Schizosaccharomyces pombe: one gene and its partner. Changing the gene in region 1 together with any one later gene gives a genetic interaction. Each region holds a gene or a part of one and is shown in the gene's direction. Other genes may lie near its edges.

The links.
Region 2: of mas5 (region 1) and hsf1, changing one suppresses a phenotype caused by changing the other (phenotypic suppression), as found in Schizosaccharomyces pombe (one study listed by BioGRID).

What each region holds. Positions count from the first base shown.
Region 1 is NC_003423.3:1,079,614-1,083,541, forward strand, and holds mas5 (DNAJ domain-containing protein Mas5), read left to right. Parts: upstream 1-1,761; 5' UTR 1,762-2,105; coding exon 2,106-3,329; 3' UTR 3,330-3,734; downstream 3,735-3,928. UniProt on the Schizosaccharomyces pombe protein: Probably involved in mitochondrial protein import. Plays a role in microtubule cytoskeleton organization.
Region 2 is NC_003424.3:5,057,209-5,061,136, forward strand, and holds the start of hsf1 (DNA-binding transcription factor Hsf1), read left to right. Parts: upstream 1-2,046; 5' UTR 2,047-2,266; coding exon 2,267-2,594; exon of another isoform or gene 2,595-2,605; intron 2,606-2,750; exon of another isoform or gene 2,751-2,936; coding exon 2,937-3,928. Other genes in the region: Set3 complex SANT/Myb domain subunit Snt1, read left to right, coding at 1-1,485. UniProt on the Schizosaccharomyces pombe protein: DNA-binding protein that specifically binds heat shock promoter elements (HSE) and activates transcription. Also required for growth at normal temperatures.

The sequences.
Region 1 (3,928 bases):
GTGTTGCATATAAACAGGATTTAAAGGTAAATAAGGGAAGAAAAAAGCTTAGCCAACTTGAGTTGACCCCATAAAAGAAACATATATTATTTATTTATTCGTTAATGTTTTTTAAACACAAAATGTAAACGATTCATTGATATTGAAGAATGTAATAGTAAGAAAAAAATTAATGAAATATTTAGAAAATACAAATCAATTGCAATCTCGTTATTTTTTTCTTGTGTAATAAAAAAAAAAAATTGTGCAGTGAAAATTAAACAAGTTTATTATGACAGTAGAATAAAACACTTATTAACCATCTATCCTACACAAAATGCATTAATTTCTTTCTTTTTAATTTTAGTCAATTATTTACTTTTGAATTCACTTCACATTCTCATTTACTTTTAGCCTTTTGTTTACTCCTTTACCTCCACATGGTTAGATTTCAGGTCAGTCCCCCACTTGGAGCTTTTTCAATACCATGTGGGAAAATCGATTATGGACTTTTAATCCCACCTGTGTATGCCCCCACATGGAACTTTCTATAACTTTCCATGGAAACCGGGGATGGAGCAATATGTTCAAAGAATAATGCTAGAAAGATTGTATGCTGAATCCCACAAGGTACGTGACCCCCACAAAATAATAAGCATACTTCCTATGGTAATAAAATAATAATATAGAGATTTTGCTACTTTCAAGACTTTGTCCCTTTCATGTAAATACAAATTATTTTTTTCACAAGTGCGTCGTAGTGTTAGGAAATAGAATTGAAGAAACATTAGAAACGTCAACTAAGACTGATGTTTATGAATCTCGTTTCTTTTCAACGTACTGTAGAATGTAGAAGAATGTAAACAAATAGATAAACTACCTTCTACTAAATATTTCATTATCTTCATTATCTTATGTAAAAAACGTGGTGCTAGCTTTCCGTTTGATCCAATATTATACTATACAATTGTTTTTATCTTCAACAGGATTCGATTACTTACGGGGAAAAATTAAGGTTAAATGGAAATGTGAATAAAATCATAATATTACTAAAATCCCTTTGCAACTATTTACAAACATCTTTCTGTTGACTTCTCAGTATTTAAATTGTTTTTCTTTTCATTCATCCATAAAAAACATATACATTCTTTAGTATTCTCTTTTTTTCTTCTCTTCCGTGCATACTAGAGTGTTTGCAACCTTCTTTACGAAAGATTCGCTATCAGTAGTTTTCTACTGTTTTCTTTTTTCCATAAATTTCGCTGGGTGGCTGCAAACAGAGAAATTTTCGTTTCCTTAATAACCTGTAGGGTCCGCCTCCTTCTTTGTGAATTGTAAAGAGGCAAACAATAGAAATTGATCGCCTAAACAAATTAAAACAAAAAAATTTAACTGCCGAAGTGCATTTTTATTCAATTTTTTTTTACGTTTTTCTCTGTTTCCCGGCTTTCGCGATATCGTTTGGCATTTGCATTTTTATTTATTTAGTCTTATTTACTGTACAAATTCAATCCTTTATTTTCCTATTGTTTCAAAGGGGAAAGAAATAAAAGGAAAGGAAATTTCTCATCTCTTGATTTTAACTCGATTTTCTATACTCGCAGTTTGAATCTCTGTGTGATTATTTCTTTTCTTTTGATCATTTTATATATTTTGAGCGAAATTTTTACGATTTTCTTACTCAGCACAACAATTACGATTTAAGGGAAATTTTGTTCTCGTATTTTCCTTTGACAACAACACACCAGCTACAAGAACATAAGAACAACACACTTTTCTTTCAACCATTTCCTACCACTTTTCACATTTTGATAATTTGTGAAAGGAAATTTAATAGAAAAGTATTGAAAAGAAACGATTATTTTGTGTTTCTTTCTAGAAAATTGGTGGATTGCTATTTTAGCGATAAAATTTTTTTTAAACTTATCTGAGAAAGTTTTTAAGGGAAATTTTTTTACTTTTTCCTCTTTTCTCACGAATTTGACTTATTGTTGAATCTTTGCTTTATTATAGACTCCATTAAAGTCTCCTCTAATATTTTATCTTCTTAATATTCCAATTTCTTTTTTATTTACCCCCTTTCTTCCACTGTCGTTTTTGTTCTCCTTACATATATTACAAGCATAATGGTGAAAGAAACTAAACTATACGAAGTCTTGAACGTTGATGTCACTGCTTCTCAAGCTGAATTGAAGAAAGCTTACCGCAAGCTTGCTTTAAAATATCATCCCGACAAAAACCCTAATGCCGGCGATAAGTTTAAGGAAATTAGCCGTGCTTATGAAATTCTTGCTGATGAAGAGAAACGTGCTACTTATGATCGTTTTGGTGAAGAAGGTTTACAAGGTGGTGGTGCCGATGGTGGTATGTCTGCTGATGACTTGTTTGCTTCCTTTTTTGGTGGTGGAATGTTTGGTGGTGGTATGCCCCGTGGTCCTCGCAAGGGCAAGGATCTTGTTCATACCATCAAGGTTACTTTGGAGGACCTCTATCGTGGTAAGACTACAAAGCTTGCTTTGCAAAAGAAGGTCATTTGCCCCAAGTGTAGCGGTCGTGGTGGCAAGGAAGGCTCTGTCAAATCTTGTGCCTCTTGTAATGGTAGCGGTGTCAAATTCATTACTCGTGCCATGGGTCCAATGATACAACGTATGCAAATGACCTGTCCTGATTGTAATGGTGCAGGTGAAACCATCCGCGATGAAGACCGTTGCAAAGAATGTGATGGTGCCAAGGTCATTTCTCAACGTAAAATCCTTACCGTACATGTTGAGAAGGGTATGCACAATGGTCAGAAGATTGTATTTAAGGAAGAAGGCGAGCAAGCTCCTGGAATCATTCCCGGTGATGTAATCTTTGTCATTGATCAAAAGGAACATCCTCGTTTCAAGCGCAGTGGTGATCATTTGTTTTATGAGGCTCATGTCGATTTACTCACTGCTTTGGCTGGTGGTCAAATTGTCGTCGAGCACCTGGACGACCGTTGGCTTACTATCCCCATCATCCCCGGAGAGTGCATTCGTCCCAATGAACTCAAAGTTCTTCCTGGTCAAGGTATGCTTTCTCAACGCCATCATCAACCTGGAAACCTTTACATTCGCTTCCATGTCGACTTTCCTGAACCCAACTTCGCTACCCCAGAACAGCTTGCATTGCTTGAAAAGGCTTTACCTCCCCGTAAGATTGAGAGCGCTCCCAAAAATGCTCACACTGAGGAATGTGTTTTGGCAACTGTCGATCCTACTGAGAAGGTTCGCATTGACAATAACGTGGACCCCACTACTGCCACTTCGATGGATGAAGATGAAGATGAAGAAGGTGGACACCCCGGTGTTCAATGTGCTCAACAGTAAACCTGTCTTATTCTGAATTTCTTTTCATTCATTTTTTCAAAATTGACAGCATTTGGATTCGTTATCCTTTTAAGAAGAGCCTAGACAATTATTTGTTTTCAGATGTTCCTAATCTTTTCCTTAGGTTTCGAGTTGCTATTGCATGTATACCTTATTCTCTTGTTCCTTTTTTTCATCCTGTAAACTCATTCCCCTCATTTGGTGTTAGTTTTCTTTTATCTCATAAAGATGTTTGATATCTAGCTTCGGCATATCTAACATACTTGCCTTTGATAGTTATTCTCTCGGTTCTTATCTTGGTCTTTATACTTCGTTAATACGCTGCTTCAATAAATATAATGACTGCAAAAAGTCGATTTATAAATATGAATACATAAATTAGATCTTGCTTGCTTTGTTTGTAAAATTTTAGTATTTGTGAGACAATTACAATTACGGCTTTTGGAAAAAGTAGTAAATAATTTTTGATGCGCTTCTGCACTTTGAATTGTCTGCGAACTAAAATTATGTTTATTCACTCTACTTATCGTTGCAATACAATTCAAGTGGGGGATGCTACTAAATTGTAACTGTAAATACAAAATCGTAAAACTTGAAGA
Region 2 (3,928 bases), on another chromosome or scaffold:
ACACGTAAAGTGATGAGCAACTTTACAGCTGGTGATATAGTTCGTTCCGAAGAAGAGTTTTTGGAGATTTTAGCAAAGCTCGAGCAGCAAGAAAAAGAAGCAAGCAATGTATCTGAGGCCTCTCGAATTGCTACTATTCCTCCTATGATACTTTCAGAAGAAGAAGTGAAAAGTCAATACTTTAATGATCAGAGCCGGTTAGTAACAGATTGTCCTAAATTCTATCACTTTCAAAGTATGCCTGACATATGGAATGAAGAACAGCATTCCATTTTCGTTCAGCAATTTATTTTACATGGAAAAAAATTTGGTAAAATCGCAGAGGCAGTGCCAGGAAAAAACTCTAAAGAATGTGTATTACATTATTATCTGACAAAAAGGACAACTGACTATCGAGCTTTGGTAGCATCTGCAACAAAAACTAAGGGTCGTCGGCGAAAAAAGCTCCTTCCTTCTCAAAGAGGTGGAAAGAAAAAGTCCAAGGGTTCTGCTCTTATGGTTGATATTGAAGCTGCGGATATTAATAAAACGGAAGAGAATATCAATAATCAATTTCAAGAAGCTTCCGTCACTGCTGATAATATGAATACTTGGGATAATACGCCCTCTGTTGAAAATGTTGAATCTGCGAATGAGAATGTTAATAATCACAATGCTGATGAACAAATGGATGAAAAAATAAAGTCTTTGGTTGAAGGGAATAGTGCTTATGAAATTGAAAAAGGAGCTCAAGAGCCTGACCCTATGTCTATTGATATGACCGATAAGAGCGAGACTGTGTCTGGTTTCAAACATGATGTTGACGTTTATGATACAGCTGAAAATGAAGGGAATAACACATTACTGCAAATCAAAGAATCCGTTCATGAGAAAACGCCGACACAGGACGAGCCTATGGATATTAGCCAGGATACCATAAAGCAGGAGGATTACTATGAACCAAAGCTTGAACAACATTCTTCTTCCAAGCGTAACAGTATTTCAACTAGGAAGGAGGAGGATGCAGCTTCGGCTCTAGCGAACCTGTCTGCCGTTGGTCGTTCCATATCCGCCGTTGATGAGTCTGCTCACCAAGGGCACTTGCCTGGTTGGGATGAAAAAGAAGAAGCGTTAATATTTTCGTTGGCCCAAGGTATGAATCCAATGAAAATGCCTCTTACTCCAAGAAGAGCCTCCACTGGTCCTCGGCCACGCCCTACTTTCCAATTGACCGAAATTGATTCTCCAAATCGCCGTCGAGCTAGTGATTGCATTACACCGTCAATATCAAAGATACTGAAAATGGTGTCTGAAGATGCAAAAAGTCAACGCATAGACGAGTTATCAGTCGAGGATCAAGAGCATACAACACATTCATCTCATACGACATCAGACATAAACGCATTTCCGAATAGTCAATCATTTCCACGAGCATCAATTCATACATTAGCAGCATTGGGCGAAGACATTGTTGAACGCCAGTCCAAAAACGATAAAATTGTATGAGTTGTGACGTTTAGTGTTATTTAATGGCGTTATTTACCATTTGTTGTTATATGAAGGGGTTTTGTTTTCTAATTCGCAAATTGGTACCTCCTTACGTGATGCCTTACTCGACTTATCTCGAATTCTACTTTAATCCTTTTTTTTTTTTCTTTTGTATATATTTTCTATTACTTTTAATGTGAGAGTTCTATATGTGTCGGGTTATGATGGTGAGTTTTTATTAAAAAAGTAAAAACTCTATAATAACTTGACTGCCGATCGTTTACGAAATCTATCAAGAGACGAATTTTTTCAATCAATAAATCTTCATGTGAAATCTAGTTATTAGTCTCGGCGACGGAAACGCTTAATTAGTAGCGTTAGTAAGTTAATCTGTAATTGACACATAACAATTTATTCGATTTAATAATTTTTTGCATTTTTTGTTGCATGCAAAACCGACACCAAAAATAAATACCGAGTGGCTAAATGACCTCACTAAACAAATTAGCGATATACCCCGGTGAATGATATATGGTGTATTGTAATCATTCGGTAGTGGATTATTGCAAAATATAACTTGACATCAACCAACGACACCCGCTTCAAATTTCGGTGAGAGCTTGTTAAAGCTACTGAGAAAGTATACATTATTTAAGAATATCTTGATTGAACCTTGTGAAATACGAACTGCATATTCTTCCCTGGTGGTTGAGAAGAAGGTACTGAGAATTCCTTTAAATCAGTAACGGACATATATATTTTTGTTAAATTAACGGCACCCATAATAAATTGATTTTTAATGATTCAGACTGCATCGACAATTTCAAGCAATGGCGGAACGAATCAGGGAATGGAGTCCAGCAGCGCAAATTCACCGGAGATGAATGGGACACAAAATTCGATGTCCGTAGGGATGTCGGGCTCAGGTTCTTCACAAAATAGGAAAATCACACAGTTTAGTAATAAACTGTACAATATGGTGAACGACTCGTCGACAGATTCCTTAATTCGATGGAGCGACCGGGGTGATTCGTTTTTGGTTATAGGGCATGAAGATTTTGCTAAGCTGGTTCTTCCACGGTATTTCAAGCACAATAATTTTTCTAGTTTTGTTCGGCAATTAAACAGTAAGTGTCTTTAAAAAGTGAAGGTGTAACAAAAAGTCGAAGACAAGCTTTTACACAATTAATTTTTTTTATTATGAATGTGTCCCCCTACTTGTCTGCATTTATTCGAAGATATATCGGGCTTTGGAAAACTTTTGGATCAGTAAGCTTAACAACGACTATCTCTTTCGATTGTTCTTCCGTTCCACTTTTCGACGATATGAAAAATATTGCAATACTTCGGAATTATTGATTATTTATCTAATTAGTCTTTGTCAAGCCCTTTTCTATCTTTTCTTGTCCTTCGCATCTCATTTTATTACATTCATTTTTTTTTTTTTTTGGTTTACTAACTTTTTACAGTGTACGGCTTTCATAAAGTCCCTCATATACAGCAAGGTGTTTTACAATCCGATAGTCCCAACGAGCTTCTCGAGTTTGCAAATCCAAACTTTCAACGTGACCAACCTGAATTACTATGCCTAGTAACGCGAAAAAAGGCCGGTAGCCAACCCGTTGAAGAATCAAATACCAGTTTAGACATGTCTACGATATCCTCTGAGCTACAGAATATTCGCATCCAGCAGATGAATTTGTCGAACGAACTCAGTAGGATCCAAGTCGATAACGCAGCTCTTTGGCAGGAAAATATGGAAAATCGCGAGAGACAACGTCGCCATCAAGAGACGATTGATAAGATCCTTCGTTTTCTTGCCAGTGTATATTTGGATGGTAAACAGAAGCCACCTAGCAAAGTTATGCCCAAAAGTCGTCGGCTCTTATTAGAAGCTAAATATCCTACGGTTTCACCTACGAATGAACCGTCTGCGCATTCAAGGCCTTCACCTCAAGGTACTACTGCTAATTCTAGTAGTGCTAGTATCTCCTCTTTACACAATACGACTCCTGATGGAGAGGGCAAATACAGATCCGTTCAAAATGGACGAGCTTTAAATTATGTTTCTTCTTTTAATTCGGATTCGCATTCACCGAAGGATTATATTTCTCAAAGCTATACGAATGAGCCAGGACTTAAAAAGGAATCTGCCGATTCCTTTAACAATTCGATTGACTCATACATTTCTCCCAATCAATCACCTAATACGGATGTACCCTCATTAAATCGAGATGATACCACTGATCCTAAAGTCGTGAACACTGGTGATATTATCAATATGTTAGATGATGCCAATAGTATTGAAGGATCGAATATGAATTCCCTGTCACCTCTTCTTTTCGACTATCCCAATTCACTTTATCCGGTTAACAACACTTCTTCTGAACAGCACCATAACTCTTACAGAGGATCGGTGTCAAATTCCCAACCTTCTGGAAATTTGTCGGAATCGACTAAT